Linked DNA regions of Arabidopsis thaliana. The protein of the gene in region 1 interacts with the protein of each later gene in a pairwise test. Each region holds a gene or a part of one and is shown on either strand. Other genes may lie near its edges.

Region 1 (5,487 bases):
TACTATTTTCATATTTGGTTTTCTTATACCAAAGCAAATTGATTATAGATGTTTTTAAGATAAATTATCAATTATAAATTTTTTAATTAAAAATTACTTTATTTGTAACTAAATTTTCTTTCAACATCTACATTTTACAAAATAATCGTATATACTGTCAATCAAATTGCTGTTTTATTTTTCTGGTCAACGATCAACAACCCAAACTTTTTATAGCTATATACGGATATACCGAGTTACTGACAAGCGACAACTATAATATCTACGTAACGGTTGCATGACTAGTAGTGACTAAAATACAAACTTAGCCAATTTTCTTTTGAAACTCTGTTTTATAACATTGTTTATACGATAGAAAATACAAAGACTTATAGAAGATCAAGAATCTGTTTACATGCAAAGAGAAGTAACTTCTTTTGCGACATTGCAATAAATCATTACAATTAAATTTACCATATACATGACAAGATCTCTCATCTTGAATCTTGATCTTGTGGATTTTAACAAAATCCACTTTATTTATCGGGTTTCTTTTGTTCTCTGCTTTGATTTCCCAAATTTAATCGACCAACTCTGAGATCCAATCAAAGTGTGACAAATCCAAATCCAAATCGGACGGCTCATAATGATCATCCACAATGCTCATCCGACTCCAACACTTCAACAACACCTTCTCCTCGTTACTATCTAAATCATCTTTCCCGCTTCTCACCGGAGACCGTGACGTGTCGTAACCCTCGTCGTCCATTCTCATCGTCACTCCATCGCCGTTTCCACCACCTCTAGCCCTCACCGGCCTATATGCGTACCTGCACCTGTGCTTTCCTTCAGACTGCCTTAGCTGCTCCGGCGCGTGGGCAAAGAAACACACTTTCCTCTGACACAAGTTCCCGGCGTTACATGCGCGTGTTCGGTAACGCGCCGGGTGGAGCCAGTACTCGAATACGCCATGTGCGAATTCGCATGAGTCGCCACGGTGGCATGCGCCATTTCGGAAAGCCGGGCATGCGACTGCACAGTAAGTGTAACGGCGAGGATCACGGCGTGTGGCTTTCTCGCCACGGTGAGCGTAGGGACACTCCGTCCAGTCGTGGCTACGAGTACGAGGACACCGTTTGATTTTGTAAGCGTACATACGGAACTCATCTGAGCCGTAGATCGCATCGTCGATGTTTGGGATCGAAGGGTCAATCTCGTAAGCTCCTGCGTTCCCAGGTTTGCTTAAAATGTACCCGAAAGTAGAGTATTGCTGCTCTCCGATATCGTAGAATGCCATTGGACTTGCACTTTTCAACATTTTTCCTTGCAATGATCTAAAGAGTTATTTTGGTTTAATAAATGTCTTTCTTTCGAAATTTAAGAAAGGAACAAAAAAAAAACTACAGAGATTTCATCTTAGGAAAATCTTAAGTAATTTAGGAAACTGAAAGGGGAATTTATAGGAAGAAAAACGAAATAAAAAGTCGAATATTTAATAATTTTACCTTTTGCAATGAAAAATGCCAAAACTATATTTTAAAGTTTAAACGTTACAGTTATTTTTTGTTGCATGCACTTATATACTGTGGATACATAATATCTTAACGGCAACGGAAGATGGTGAAAGATAAACTAATATGATTTGAAGATATATTTTTCCAGATGCAGCAGATCGTATGTAAAGTATATACAATTACAGTAATTTACAAAAATCGTCATCATGATCAACGTTTTAGAATATTTCAATATTTGATTATGGTGTTAAATGGTGTTTGATTCGTGAGAGGTAAAGTTAACAGACGTTAATAAGGGCAGCGTTTACGTGAAGGAAGAAGAGTGAAAAACATTTGGAAACACACGAGTGGTAAAAATTGCATGAGAAGGCACACGTGTAAGTGATAATCAGAAGAACTTAAAAATAATAAAGAGGAGAGGAGCACCATCTGGCACACGTGTCGAGAGGAATCCTTTAAATCCTCGACAGCCGTTTCTCTTTTGCAATCTTGGTAGGTTGGTGAGAGCATTGCTAAATCCAAAGACAATAGAAATAGTTTGCAAATGTCATTTCCATAATTTATATTTTAGTCGTAATAAATTTGATCGAAGTAGGAAATGATTATACAGCATACTATTATCACCATAAAAAGCTTATTTATCACTTTTTTATTTAGATCCGAAAAGTTTTGCGTTAAATACATTTTTTCGGAGCGAAAATCAGGCATAAATAAAGTTTTTTCTGTGCACTTGATATTCGTATCGTTTTTTCTTTATGTCCGAAAAGTTTTGCGTTAAATACATTTTCTCGGACCGAAGATAAGACAAAAACAAAACTTTTTCCTCGCATCTACTATTCAAATCGCTTTTTTGTTATATCCGAAAATTGTTACGTTAAATACATCTTTTTAAATTGAGAATCGTACGAAAATAAAGTTTTTTCATCATTTCATATCCGAATCTACTTTTTTTAAAATATGGTTTTAGATTCTAACTGTTTTAGCTATGAATTTTAGATAAAAAAATAATTTCTTTCTAATTTGTAGCTAAAACAGTTGAATCTAAAATCATGTTATAGAAAAATTGGATTCGGATATAATTGTTTTCTTTTTGTTTAGAGCCTTTACACACTAGATTAATGTCTTTATTTTTGGCAGATCTATAAAGTGACGGTTTTTAATCAGAATTTATGCCAGTTTACAAGGTTTTTTTTGGAAAGACGCGTATTCTTTTCTGAAAAGAAAAGAAGCAATTGCATGCACAAATGGTAACGTTTAAACTTTTTTCCCTAGTCTTTTTTAAACATCAAACCGCTGTCCTCCAAGTTGTAGCAGATTAATCAAAAAGAAAGGCGTCAATACAGAGTGAAAGTAGTTCTTGTGGATCTTGAAGATAATGTGAAGAACTAAATATAAAAGTTTAACCAAAGAAACACATCTCCTGATCAACTAACATGCGCAATCAAAATAGAAAGAAAAAAAAGAATAATTCGTTTTGAAAGTTTATCTCGTAAATATTTATCAAACAAAAAGGTGATTAATAAAAACCTTTCATCACTTTCCTTGAAGCTTGTATCCTCCGATTGCGTTTATTAGCCTCGCGTTTTAGTTTATTTTTTGAATGTCCGACCTCTGTGGCGGCTCCTAAGAATCCGGTCTGAGTTCCGTCGCTGTCATTGTCAATGTCTCCTTCGATCGTTAATCCTTCAATCCTAGCCGCAATGGAGTCCCCTTTCACCCCAACATCTACATCTATACGTAAAAAAATGTGCAATCATTTTATTTGACGCTACAAATCTACTTAAGAGTATCAAATATGTATGTACGTTACACATATCTATCATGTGAGTTCCGAATTGATTTTAAAAAAGAAAGATTATGTGTTTAAGGAAACTTGATTCATGGCCTTCTATCACAAGTAAATAACTGGATCAAAAAGACTAGAAGATGCAACATTCTCAAATAGATGGTTTGTTTGCACGCATAGAGAATCGAGCAAATATATATGATAGCCTAAGATCATGAATAGGGACACAATGTGTATAATTGTAAACAAACCTGGATTAGAGAAGAACCAAAGGACGAGAGCACAAGCAAGAAGGACAAAAGGGATTATGTGAACGGCGTTTTCAGCAAACTTGGTACGTGACTTCTCTTTCTTAGTCATCTCTTGGCCAGTGGGATCGTATGGAGCCGGCTCGTCTTCGTCTAAGCCCTTCCATAATCCCTTTGGTGCGGACCAAGGCACCGAGTAATCCTCGGTCACACGGTTCCAGCTCGCGGATCTGTACATATTGGGTCTATATAATCCGATCTTGTTGTGTAGAAGGGATTGGATCAGTGTCTTTACAACGTAACGAATTAAGGCTAAAAGATACTTTTGTGTCAAATCAGATAAAAATCGTAATTCTTTACTAAACAAACACCCCTTAAAAATTTATTAAATATTTGGTGGCGAATTTAGGGCCTACGCCTTTGGTAAATACAGATGGACCAGATCGATGTTAGGACTTTGTCAAAATTCTTGAATGAATCTCACTCGTTATTAATTACGTAGATTTTTTCGAATTATTATATACATATATTTATGTTTTTTTTTAAAGGTTTTTTTTTTTAAAGGGTTTATGTTTTTAAAATATTTATGTTTAAAAAAAAAAACCAATTAACCATGCATATTATATTTCTTTTCTTCTATTTGTAAATAGAAAAATATTTAATAAAAATAATCTAAATTAGACGCGCACATACATATTTGGGTGGTATTTTGATTTCAATGAATATTTGGAAATCGAGAGAATGATATGCTAATTATATATCTTACATTACAATTTAACACGTATATATGTCTCTGATATACATCTCCACGTTATCACAGGTTAAACGCCAAAAGGACATGGACTGAGTCATACCGTGTACCAAACCAAACCGGGCTAAGACCTGATCAGTCCTTTATTCTTATTCTGTATTTATTTTATTGTCCTCTTAATCAGTCCTTGATTCTGAGAGTGTCAATAAACCTATCCCCTTGAGAAATGTCATTTTTGACAAGAAAATCAAGAAAATCGTTAAAGCTGCTCTCTTTATACCGAACCGGATTTTCATCGTTAACCAATTCGCGCGGTACACTCATCTTATCGTCCATACCCAAGCTATGCAAGCTCGCGAGAGAGATTCTCGTCTTCTCTTCATTCAAAGTGACTTTATGAACGATGCTCTTGTATAATCCATTGCTTAGAACTTCCACATGGTCACCAATATGGACCTAAATAAAGAAAAAAGAGCGAAGATGCATGGTGATTACATTTTTTGTTTTGGATCTAAACGTTTCAATTATTTCTGTTTACGTCTAAACCGGTACAGTTGAAACGCACCTTAAGTACACCTGTGACTTGTGGGACACCAACCCAACGGCCAGATCCACCGTGAGCCATTGGATCGAAGATCTTGAGACCGTCCAAGTTCTGTAGAAGGAGGGTGATGCAACTATAGTCTGAATGCGGCGGCAGGCCTAGCGCCGTCTCAGGGTCCGGACAGGGTGGATAGCAGTTAACTGTCATGACTTGCATGCCGTTTTCGTCCATCCGAGACGACAGGTAGTCTCTCCCTAGACCTAGGCTTTCCGTTATTGCTCCCATTAACTCTATCGATAGTTTCCTCACTTCCTCGCAGAACTTTCCCATTTTTTCCCTGAATTATTCACAAAAACGCAAACACGTGTGTGTACTTAAATACGTATAATAGACGATTAGTACTTGCAAAATGTGATAGACATGGTCTAAAAAACGTAAAACAAAACAGAACAGTAATTATGTCTTTCTTAATTATACAATGTAAATCCTCAACCTATTCCATTATATAAAATAAATTAAGATAAAAGATGGTCAAATCATGAAATAGTTTATTTTTAAGTCAGTTCTAAATTTCTTTAATACACAGGCAACAAAACTGTTTTTTTTTTTTTTTTAATCATAAAACCCATAGGTTAGAAAGAAAAACAAAACCGTGTTCTATGTTA
Region 2 (5,786 bases), on another chromosome or scaffold:
TATATTTGCTTTGTCCCAGACCACACCCACATGTAGGACACTTGCTACTTTTTTTTTCTCTCTTAAATCGTATAATTTTGGATATTTTGTCTGTCCAATTTTTTACTTTTCCGGATCGATAGGAATATTTAACGGAATCTATATTTTTTTGTTTTGTTGAAATGTTAAAATTATAAATCAAACTTGAGAAAGTTATATGTACATGTATTTACGGAATATATAGTCAGTGAATTATTTCTCTAAATGTGTGTCGGACAGTAATCTCATAGAAATATTTTCATGATTATCAAAACCAAACGATTTTGTTTTAAAGGAGGAAATCACACATCATCTGTTATGTCATTTCCAAATAATTCCTTCAAGATCATCATCCCTAATATAACCATTAGCATCTTCAGTTTACAAATATCTTAGCGACCAACCTCTAGCTAAACTCCATGAGCTACTCAAGTTTTTCTTTTACCTCTAAGTCTGTCCTTAACAGTGTGAAGAAGTTCCATCGCCTTGTCTAGTACATAAGCTTTAAGTTTCACCTTTCGACCTAACAGTGTGAAGAAGTTCTTTTACCTTCAAGTTGCACTGGGGACTTGATTCATACAACATACGTTGACATCAGGCTACCATTGCTAGTTCTTGTTTCGAGAGAGAAGCGGCCTATTTACGATTCAATACACATCCATGGAGGTAATATATTACAGCTAAATTTGAAGCTTTATGACAGAATCATGCATTTGCTCTGTATGTGTTTACCTGTGACACTCTTTGTGTTAAGGCTTGGCATATTGCTGTTTATGTTTTAGTAGAATGAAAATTCTTACAGAATCTGCACTGGCGAAATCTTGGTCTGCTTCACTCGTTAGAGGTGACCTTAAACTAAACTATGTGACTAGTTTTCCGTTGAGAAGTGAAGAAAGCAGCTGTCGAAGTGCAACTCAAGAAAATGGAGGTAAAATAAACTTAGCAATAGAGAGCTGATACTGTTTCAATGTGATTGAGAACAATGAGAAGTGAAGTGTTTGTGAATTTGTTTCACTGCAGGAGGAACTAGAGAAGAAGAAAGCAGGAGTATGCAGAGAGGATGAATTAGGTTTCAGTGACTCACAAGGAAGCAGAAGAAAGAAGTGCAATGATTGAAGGTAAGCGTGGAGAAGCAAGAAGAAACGGCTGCTAAAATACTGGGCCATTAGAATTGTTCCAAAGGCAACTTGTGGATGTTTCCAATCTTGAGTTTACAAATCATTTTTTCAGGATTTTTTAACTGTAAATTTCTCTCTTCTCTTCAATGGCTTGTAATGTTTTTTGTATATTGATTTTGTCTGTGAGAAACAAACAAGAGTTCATTTTCATAAAACCTTATATCAGTCGAATAATTCACCATGAGATCATTCAAATTGTGAATCCATCCATTTTCTAGAAAATCTGCAGATCATGTGACTATCTTACTTGTGATAAGACTCATCGGTACCTACTATGGTCTGAGGATCTGAAGGCTTAATAAACATGAAGACCAAGACAATTATGTAACTAGGAACAAACAATCTCACACTGAATAAGTATAGCTAGTAATGACACTTGACATATGTGGCTTTAACACTCAGGTTCCACGTAAAAGCTTCACAAAAGTATAATACAAGTTCCAGGGAGTTAGTTAGCTGATCTATTAATGGGAGGTACATTCTTCAGCAGATAGCGTCGTCTCTTAGACCGAGCACGACTCCTAAGCATCCATAAGATCACTAAGAAACCGATAAAAACCATCTGAAGAGCGAAAACAAGCTTCATACCTGGAAACAACAACAACAACAATTGTTTTTGTATCAGTTTGCTAGACAATCAAACAAAACAAATAAGCTTCCCAAGAAAAGTTGCAAAACCTTGTAGATTCTTGACCATGTCCTGAAGATTTCCTATAGTATAAAACTCCTTTGGATGAGGCGTTGAACCGAGTTGCAAGTGTATAGATTTAAGGTTGGCTCTAGGTTTGTAGATGTAGTTAACGTTACCACCCATTATACAAGTGTTGGGACAATGAATGCTACTTTCGTACTCGTCGCTTCCATCGCAGCAATCTGAGAAACAGACAATGTCATGCTGCTTATCCAATCCAACAAAAACATGTAGATTACTAGCATACAGCAAGAGACAGCTGAAACGAGAATCATTTAGTCGAATTCAGAACATTAGTAACTACTGACCACAGATTCGATCATTCACACGAGAAGAGTAAACGAACTTTGGAGAACTTCCAATGTTCCTACAGTAAAATTTGCCATTTGGACATGCCGAAGTTCCTGTAATGCAAAATCAGAAATTCAGAAACTTACTCACAAGAACACATTTTTCATAATTGAAATTGTGAAAGAGAATAAGATTCGATCAATTCTAGTCCTAAATCTTTTTATCTGGAAAGAATTTAAAGTCTCATGTCATCTCAGCTCTCTGGATTCTAAATTGAGAAAAAAGTGTGTACCAGGCTCATCGGTGCCGTCGAGACAATCGCAGAAGTTGTCGTTGAGACGATCTCTTGTGAAAGATTTGGAGCCATCTTTGCATTTGATAACATCTGAGTCGAAATACTTTTCATCTGCCTCACAACAAAGAAGTAAGTAAGAATCAGAGAACAAGAACATTTTTCAGATTTGTCGATATAATAAAGATAAGAGTCATCGAAGAAGTAACCTAAAGGGTGAACACCAACGAGGGGAGAGGTCGAAGCGACGGAGATGACGACGACGGCGAGTGACGAACACAACACGACGCATTGCAGCAGCATCCGTTGACTCGCATTTGGTTAAACCGACGTCGTTTTAAGATTCGAGTGGATTATTCCGACCAGATTCTCTCTTTACGATTTCGGCTTTTAAGTTTCAAGTTAAGAATAAGTGGAGTGGCCAGATATTTGATTCGATGGGCTTTGAATTATATTGGGCTTTGAGTTTTCATTTAATACTACAGTGTTCAGTATTCGACTATTAAGAAAAGAAAAAAAATCTACAATTCAGGTTATTATTAAAACTTGATTTAATTCTTGATTAATAAACTAAATTAATTTGATTATTTTAGTTTGGTTCATTTTTTCTTCTAAGTTTTTTTTTCAATGTGAATCAAAACTCTTACTCAAACGTTCTTAAATTGTGTTTGTACTACGGAGTCCCATCACCTCTTGGCTCTTGTTCAAGAGCAAAAAGTTGAGAAACATCCAAGCCTTCAAGAATGAGACCATCAACACCATTTTGAAATCAAGTAATGGCTGGAGAAGGCATAACAACTTGAACAGAAGAAGTTTGAACCACGAGTGAAAGAAGTGTAATTCGAAAGACTTCAAGTCACGGTTATTTGCGGTTAGCTGGTAATGAAGAATGAACCACTCTAAGAAGCAACCAACTTCTACAACATAAAACAGTTGTGAGCCGTTGTGATTTTGTAGTTAAGTTGACTGCTTTTCTTCTTATATACCTTCTTCTCTAGACTATGTCCATTTTATCTCACAAGTGATTTTTCACAAGACATTAGATCCCACGAGTCATAAGTAACACACAGAGCCAACACTTAGCACCTAAACCATTAACCTAAACAACTTTTAGTTCCTCCTTCTAGTTCTCCCTCTAAAAATCATGGACTCGGACAAGAATAGACCAACAAGACTGACTTCTCCATTATTACCCTTTTGCATCTCCTATTCATTTGTCCTAGTCTGGTCCATACACCCAAAGCAATGGACCTCAAAATATGATAAAAAAATGTGACAATACAAGTCTATTTCTTACTAACCAGTAAACCAAACCAAAGAATTTCAAATTAGAGCAACCTAAGCCTCATCCTCCTCTGTTCAAGTTGTTGTTGTTGTTCTTGCCTTCATTCTTTTCTGAGATTCTCTGAGATATGCTTCAGCTTTTCTACCTTTTAAAAGTTCCCTGAAAACCTTTGTCACAGTGGTTTGTTCTACACCATGAATCTCCTTCATGAAATTGATCATCTCAGGAAGAGTGTAGAAATTTTCACAGCAGAACAAGTAGCTATCTCTCACTTTCTCCTCTTCCTTGCTCAAAACAGGTTGACTACTTTGCTGTTCATTTACGACACAAATTGTATGAATCAGTGAGAATTAGTGAATTACAAATACGTAAAATCAAATACATAATTCATCAGCCAGAATTTTGAATTACTTGTGCTTCAGTAGTCGTCGTAACACACTTTCCCTCTGATTTCTCTGCTTCAAACGAGCTACCAGAATTTTTCGCCATTACTCTCTCTGTTGGTGATTTGCTTGTAATTTAGGGTTTAAAGAGAACAAGGATGCTCTTGTCGTCTGCTGTCTCCCTTTTTCTAGCCCAATTTTATAAACGGCCCAGTAAAGCCCAATTACATAATCTGAGAGCATTAGTGACTTGTATTGGTTTCAAGTTTCATTCACACACACACGTAGATAAGAATTGGAATAAAGAATCAATGGTGTTGCAAATGTACCTTTGAAATATGAATACACCACTTCGTTAACAAAATCCTTGTGGTTTTAAAGGAGAAAAATAAAATGCAAAAATTTACAAACCCATCTACGATTCTATCAAGAAAAAGGGCAAAGACCAGACTTGTCCATATTAACACAACACATCAAAGATCCTATCTCTTCATAATACAGTCAGAAAGAAAAAAAAAAAGAAAACAGAGGTGGCGATGGCTCTTTTGTAGAATGCTGGAGACAACTTGGAGCTATTGTTGCAGGAGTCTTGAGTTAGATTACCAATAGCTAACTTCACTCCTTACGACCTTTGGTTGGAGGAGAGGGTTTGTCTGAAGCCACTTTAAACTGTCCCATCTTCTTCTGCAGATCAGCCAGAGGGTCTTTTGAAATCTTTCCCTTAGGACTCTTCTTTCCATTTCCTACTTTAAGTTCTAGGCGATATAACGCACATGCGTCAGATTCATTGATTTGGTATTCAAAGAGATGCCACTCAAAGGGACCTGGAGGTTGTGGATCCATATAGTAAGATCTCTTCTGGCCTTCTTGTTCCTTCATCAGTTGTTTTCTTGATTCATGCCAACCTCTTCCACTGTAATCTGGAAGTGATCTTTGCTTTCGGTTTCCGCTATCATATGCTCTTCTAGGTTTGTCAAAGAAGAGCCACTCTCTAATTGTTTCGCCTTCAACCAGTTCAAGATGAAATAGCTCTGCAAGTACAAAAAATTAAGGGTCAGGCAAAAGTAAGAAACTCACATAAGGCTTCTGTTTTCAAAGAGGCAACGAAATGTTGAACTAAAACAAAGAGAGAAGCAAAACTGGGCTCTAGTGGGACAATGCTCTCACCTGCTGCGTTCCATGGGCATTTTGTGTTAACAGCTCCTTCACACACTGGGATCCCAACATTCTTACCCTGAGTCTTTGCACGAAGAGCATCAATCAATAGATTATCTTTCAAACTGATGCCCCCTGGCCTCAATACAGGTGCTGTGCCAGGCGAATCTTCATTCAGAGCTAGAGTCCCATGGTAGTTACTGCAGTAATCCAGGTACCACTCGGAGCCCTGAGCAGGCCTTGTGCAATCCCATAGTGCACACTTAGGTCCCAGAAAAGCAGATGGAGGCACACGGACACTTGATGGAGTAGAAAATTCAGCAAAGTTGTCAATCTCTTCAGAAGAATCAAGCTTAGTGGAAGGGCTGTTATCTAGTTCCTGACGCACTTCGGAGAAAATATAATCATACTGAGAAGTTATATCCAAGTTGCTGCTGAGTTTTTGGTCATGGAAATCAGGAGCGGAGTTTATGCTTGGATCAAACCCTTCATA
Region 3 (5,786 bases), on another chromosome or scaffold:
ATATCTATGACTTTAATTTGTGTTTATGTATGGATCGACTTATACGTGCACGTATATGTTATTAATTAAGAAAAGAAAAAGCTGCTTGAGTTGTTGTGTTATACACGTATACTAAATATGTTCTGTTTAGTGCAGAAATGTTAACCCTAGCTATAAGGGATTTTTTGTTCTTTTTTTTTTGTTACCATTAATGTGAGTGAGTGAGTTTTGTGTGATGAAAATTAGATTTGCTTCACATTTTGTTTTGATATATATAAATCAATATACTGTGCCTTTCGTGTCTTGTTTCTTATATTATTTTGTGACATTAATTAATTATCTTATCAAAAATTTATTTTATTAACTGTGTCCTATGGAAAAAGATGAACAATATGAGTTAACCTCATCTCAAGGAGATTCTTTTTTGTTTTGTTTTTCGAATAACTTCTATTTGAAAAGTTTTATTTTTCTACATCTTTATATAAACGAAAAGTTAATAGAAAGTGAAACAAATTATTCAAGAGAATATTAATTATATATAGTTTTCTTTTCTCAAATGATTTGTTCATTAGCTATTAACATACAATAAAACTAACTTTTTGAAAAAATAATAATACCCTAATATATATGCATTATCTCCAAATATGATGAATAATATTATTCATTCATAAAATATGCCGTTATCCATATGCTGTTGTCGTCTTCAAATCTACATTGGATCAATTATAAATAAGTCATCCTTAAAGGTAGACAAAGTATGAGAAGAAACAAGAATGAAAAAAGAAACCATTTAAGTCTTTTCATAAATGTAGTGGACAACAAATAACGTTAGTGTAGAGAAAAAGAGAGATCCATAATATACGGCCACCCACAAACACCGACCAACCCAATTCGGCTTTTTAATTATTTATTTATTAGGGTTCTAAATTTTTAAAATATTAATGTACCACAGAACAACAGATTTACAATATGGTAAAAAACCTCAGAGTGGGATAACTGATGAGAGAGCATAGGTCAAATGAACACTTTCAGCATTCACATCCTGTTGACCTCTGTGGATTGCTGGTTCCGACATCGATCGTGTCTGGTAGGTACCTAAAAGATCGAACATCAACAAGTTTCAGACATAATCTCGAGTCGAGACCCATCAACCCGAAAAGAAAAATACCATTAACAAAGCCTATGATTGCGATTGTATGTTTTTAACTTACATTTCTTCCTCTTCTCCACTCTTCATTGCGTTCGTAGTTATGCACAGGAACGCGTCTTCTACATTGGTGCCTACTTTAGCTGAGGTTTCATAGTATGGAATGTTTCCTTTCGAAGCACACCAAGCTCGAGCCTTCTTCTCTGATACCTGAAAAACCATAAAGTGATTGGAAACAATGCAGAGAGGCTTCAAATTTCAAGGTTGTTCTTCATTACACGGAGATTATATACATACCACCCGGCTGCTTCCACCATCCACATCGATCTTATTACCGATAACAACAAAGGGAAAGTTCTCTGGATCCGAAGGACTTGCCTGCAAATCACAATTACCGCAATTTCAAGCCAAGTTCTTTCTCTTTAATCTACTAGGAAGAGAGAGTAAGATCTATATATATTTATACCTGGATCAGAAACTCTTCCCTCCAGTTGTTGAGATCCTCGAATGATTTTGCGGAGTTGACATCATATACAAGAACACAGCAATCAGCACCACGATAAAACGCAACACCAAGACTCTGAAACCTTTCTTGACCAGCTGTGTCCCAGATCTGTAAAAAAAAAGCAAGACCTTAGCTCTTATGGTCAAGCAAAGAGAGCAATATATATAGTACTTGGGATCAATTCTTAATCTAAGACACTCTTATGGTCACCCCTTTTTGTATGTTTCCTAAGTCTGATAATGCCCAAGCAGAATCACATTAGAAACCAGTATGAAGCGTTTCAATATTGGAATGACGCACAACAAATTCCAGAGAACAAAAGTGTCAATTGGTATAAGATAAGACTACATAGGGCTTAATTTCCTTCAAAGGTAAGCAGAGATAGCCTGAAGCTCATAAACTATCAACTTTTTTTATTCCAAGTTTTCCTCTGCCACTAAGGAGTCTAACTTATACCAACTGCGCTAAAATAAAATAAAAGAGGTTTACTGATAAAGCGCTGCCACAACAAACCTGTAAAGTGAAAAGCCGGTCTTCAAATTGAACTTCCTTAGTCAAGAAATCAGCCCCAATAGTTGCCTTATACTGGTTGCTGAACTTCTTATTAACATATCTAAAGGCGTGTTGTTAAAGTGAAACAGAAACACAAACTCATCTAACTCGACAAAAGGAAAGATTGTTACTCATAAAACAGAGACCAAAGAATTTATTCACATATATTTTTTTTTAAAAACATTGTAGTAGCATCCTCTTGACTCCATGCACAGAAAATTTAGGATACTGATTCATTAAAGAAGTCTTCCCAACCCTGCAAAATCACAAATTCAAAATTCTTAACTTCGATAAACACAACAATAAGACTTTTAGAGTCATAGTTCAACAGCTTCACTAGGTATCACAACATACAATATCTGATTCACAACATATTCACTCTCACTCACCAAGAAAAAAACAGGTTAACAACAAATTCTTACTTGATTGCGAACACTAGACCGAATGATTTCTTATAAAAGATTGCAAATTCCAACAGAAGGATAATACAAATGTTGAATATGATACAAGATTCACTATTCAATCTTTCCAGTAGACAACAAGAACACCAAATCTGAATCATACTGAGAGAAAAATCAGACATGACCTTAAGATAGCAGCATCATTACTTGAGACTAATTCTACTAATCTTTCATGTGATTACAAACCTTCCCACGAGAACTAATCCAATCTCTAATCATCACTTCACAATTCAATTCCAAGTAACTACAGAACAATTAAATCCAGAAGACACAGAAATCAACAACCTAAGAGATCACACCAATTCAGATCGAATCCAATCAAAAGGTAATACACAAAATTCGACTTCAATCTTCAAAAATTCGAAACCAGAAAAAGTATTTACTTACTGATCGAAAAAACACTAAATCAACATGTAAAGAGAGAAAGAGTTCCTTACCCGCTATCACCGAGGATGATGACTTTGAGGAGAGTTCTTCTACGAGAAGGCATCGAATCACGAACGATGATGGGAGAGATCTGTACAAAGACAAGAGAAAGCTCTCTGCGATTTTCTGGGTTTATGGAGAAGACGCTGTTTCCGATTATTTTCTTTCTTCTCTGCCCCCTTGATTATACTGTTGCTGACCTGTCATTTTTTTTTATAATATTATTTTCAAAGATATTTAGTGGTGATGATTTATGGATTTTAACAAAATGTATGTATATCAGTATATCCAACTAATTAACCTTATACAGAACATTTCTATTTATTTTCATACTAAAACTTTGACCTTTATTTTAGGTAAAGAATCTTATGGTTTATCCAGAATTTTATCTTCAGATTTAATAAAAAATTTGTGATTACTTTTAAATAAATAATATTATTTTGTTTGATATTATTTTATTTATCAAAACAGTACGGAGCCGTACACATTTTATTTACGATACGTATTTGCTAATTCGTTCAATGACATATTATTTTATCAAATATCGGTTTTTACCATTTTATAATTATAGTTAACTAACTACTAAATTTCTTCTTTTAATTTATATTAACGCAATGTAAATAACTTAAAAGATAGGAAATGTACGGAAATATACGAAAAAGTATAAAAAATTTAATTCTTAAATTATAAAAATAAATAAAAATACAGTTAACTATTAGCAAAAAATAAGTATTTTTGACTACAAAACCTTTATGAAATATAATTTATTTTGGAGAAATCAAATGATGTACAATTAATATATTTAATTAAATCGAGATTATACTGTAGTCAAATATTTTATTTTCCTTAATGACAAGATTAAAATATCCTTATCAAATGTTTGACCCTGTATATTTTATCTTAATTTAAAAAAAAACAGTAAAGCGTCAGAAAATAGTAATACTTAATAATTTAGGCTCCCTTCATAAAGAAACAAAAATGTTAGGGAAGGGTGATAGATGACGATAATGATCGAAGGGTTATGGGTGAAGAATGATGATGATCCAAGGGTCACAATGTCTCACACCAAAACGATACCAAGCCTCTTTAAGGTTATGACTGTTGTATGTAATTAATTAGATACATGAACGAGGACAAAAACTCTTTAGGAATGAAATACAAATTATTAAGGAAAAATATGATTACACCTTTTCAACATTTCAATGGATTCTCTTTATAAACCCTCTCTAATCACATAGATAACATCACCCATCACCACCACATATCGATAAAAAATCAGTCATGGCTTCTCCTTTGTATCCGTCTGTCTTAAACAATCCTTTATCTTCAATTGTGGTGACACGAGACGAGTTCAATGCTTTTCACACAATCGACAGAACCTTGTTCAGTCGTCTTGTCTTCAATCTAAACCGAGACGTTGACCAGTCGTTTCTAGCCATGTGTTTTCTCTTGTTCCTCGAGCAATCCAGTTATGCCCGCGACATAATCGCGTACCTTGTCTCGTTACCAAACGCTTTTGTCGACGCGGTGGCTAACGAAATCGGTGTGTGTATAAATTTGTTATACAACGTAGAGTTTGCATCAACGTTCTTCGCTGCTGACAACGATGATAACTCCATGATACCATTGCTCTTACGTATTACTGGAGGAAAGTTTACTCTCAGATTGATCAACCAACAACGCAAAAACTTTTGCGCTGGAGTGACAAAGAGTTGGACCGATGTTTGCACTCGAGCATTCTCAGATTTATGCGAGACAGCTCATAGGATCAACAGGGAGAAACAATTGGCTTTAGAGAGAGAGAAATTCATAGAGGATATGAAGAAACTCAGGTTGAGTCTCCAACAAGAAAAATCTAATAGGTTAAGTGTACAACAAGTAAAAATTGCTTCTCCTCCTCCTCCTCGTCCTCATCCTCCAGTTGAAGACGAAACAGAAAAGGCCCTTAGAGAGAAAGAGACAATGGAGGTAAAAGAGAAGGAAGGTGTGCTGGCGGCAGATGATCGGACGGTTTTCCTGACGTTTTCAAAAGGGTATCCGATCTCGGAAGCGGAAGTAAGGGTTTACTTCACTAGGAGATTCGGGGAAGTGATAGAAGCGGTAGAGATGCAAGAAGTTGAAGCAAACGAGCAGCCATTGTTTGCGAAGATGGTGATGAAACTGCAGTGTGCGTCGATGATGGATGAGATTGTGAGTGCGAGGTTTAGAAACAAGTTCACCATCGATGGCAAACATGTTTGGGCTCGTAAGTACGTTCGCAAGAATCCTTATCCAGCTTCATCCTCTACTCATTTTTGAGTGTTTCTGAACTTCTTATTTACATGTTGTGCTTGTTGATGTTGTCGTTGTTGTTGTTTATCTAATAAAATTGTGTCGTCAATCTTATTATTGTGCTACACATTAATATATGTTTAAATTGGCGAGTACAATTACTTTTTTACTAGTTGGTGTTATTTTTATATATTTTGAATCATACAATGTTTGAGAAATATAACGCCGGAAAACTTCCAAGAACAAATGTATATCTATGTATAATTAAATTCATAAGATAAAATAAAAAAATAATATATGATTGGCTAATTATCAGTTTCTATATATTTAATTATTATTAATTAATTGATAGTTTTTTTTATTTGTTTGGTCTTTTGTTATAGGATATTTGATTTAGTATAGTCTGTCAAATAATCAAGAAGATGTTGTGCCAACATCCTCCATT

What was found.
Region 2: the proteins of AT5G07490 (region 1) and AT2G42390 interact in a protein complementation assay, tested with the Arabidopsis thaliana proteins (one large-scale study listed by BioGRID).
Region 3: the proteins of AT5G07490 (region 1) and RABG3E interact in a protein complementation assay, tested with the Arabidopsis thaliana proteins (one large-scale study listed by BioGRID).

What each region holds. Positions count from the first base shown.
Region 1 is NC_003076.8:2,368,526-2,374,012, reverse strand, and holds AT5G07490 (uncharacterized protein), read right to left. Parts: upstream 3,881-5,487; 5' UTR 3,766-3,880; coding exon 3,531-3,765; intron 3,225-3,530; coding exon 3,010-3,224; 3' UTR 2,687-3,009; downstream 1-2,686. Other genes in the region: PEI1 (Zinc finger C-x8-C-x5-C-x3-H type family protein), read right to left, coding at 560-1,297; KUOX1 (KAR-UP oxidoreductase 1), read right to left, coding at 4,459-4,734, 4,844-5,159.
Region 2 is NC_003071.7:17,649,737-17,655,522, forward strand, and holds AT2G42390 (kinase C substrate, heavy chain-like protein), read right to left. Parts: upstream 2,908-5,786; 5' UTR 2,774-2,907; coding exon 2,680-2,773; intron 2,585-2,679; coding exon 2,471-2,584; intron 2,292-2,470; coding exon 2,196-2,291; intron 2,070-2,195; coding exon 1,875-2,069; intron 1,785-1,874; coding exon 1,645-1,784; 3' UTR 1,370-1,644; downstream 1-1,369. Other genes in the region: AT2G42395 (uncharacterized protein), read right to left, coding at 3,830-4,066, 4,167-4,244; VOZ2 (vascular plant one zinc finger protein 2), read right to left, coding at 4,754-5,169, 5,306-5,786.
Region 3 is NC_003070.9:18,232,190-18,237,975, reverse strand, and holds RABG3E (RAB GTPase homolog G3E), read right to left. Parts: upstream 3,253-5,786; 5' UTR 3,135-3,252; coding exon 3,082-3,134; intron 2,440-3,081; coding exon 2,413-2,439; intron 2,245-2,412; coding exon 2,145-2,244; intron 1,740-2,144; coding exon 1,593-1,739; intron 1,505-1,592; coding exon 1,424-1,504; intron 1,337-1,423; coding exon 1,191-1,336; intron 1,075-1,190; coding exon 1,008-1,074; 3' UTR 961-1,007; exon of another isoform or gene 689-960; 3' UTR 433-688; downstream 1-432. Other genes in the region: AT1G49290 (Rho guanine nucleotide exchange factor), read left to right, coding at 4,352-5,368. UniProt on the Arabidopsis thaliana protein: Intracellular vesicle trafficking and protein transport. May play a role in adaptation to stress by recylcing macromolecules in specific cellular compartments.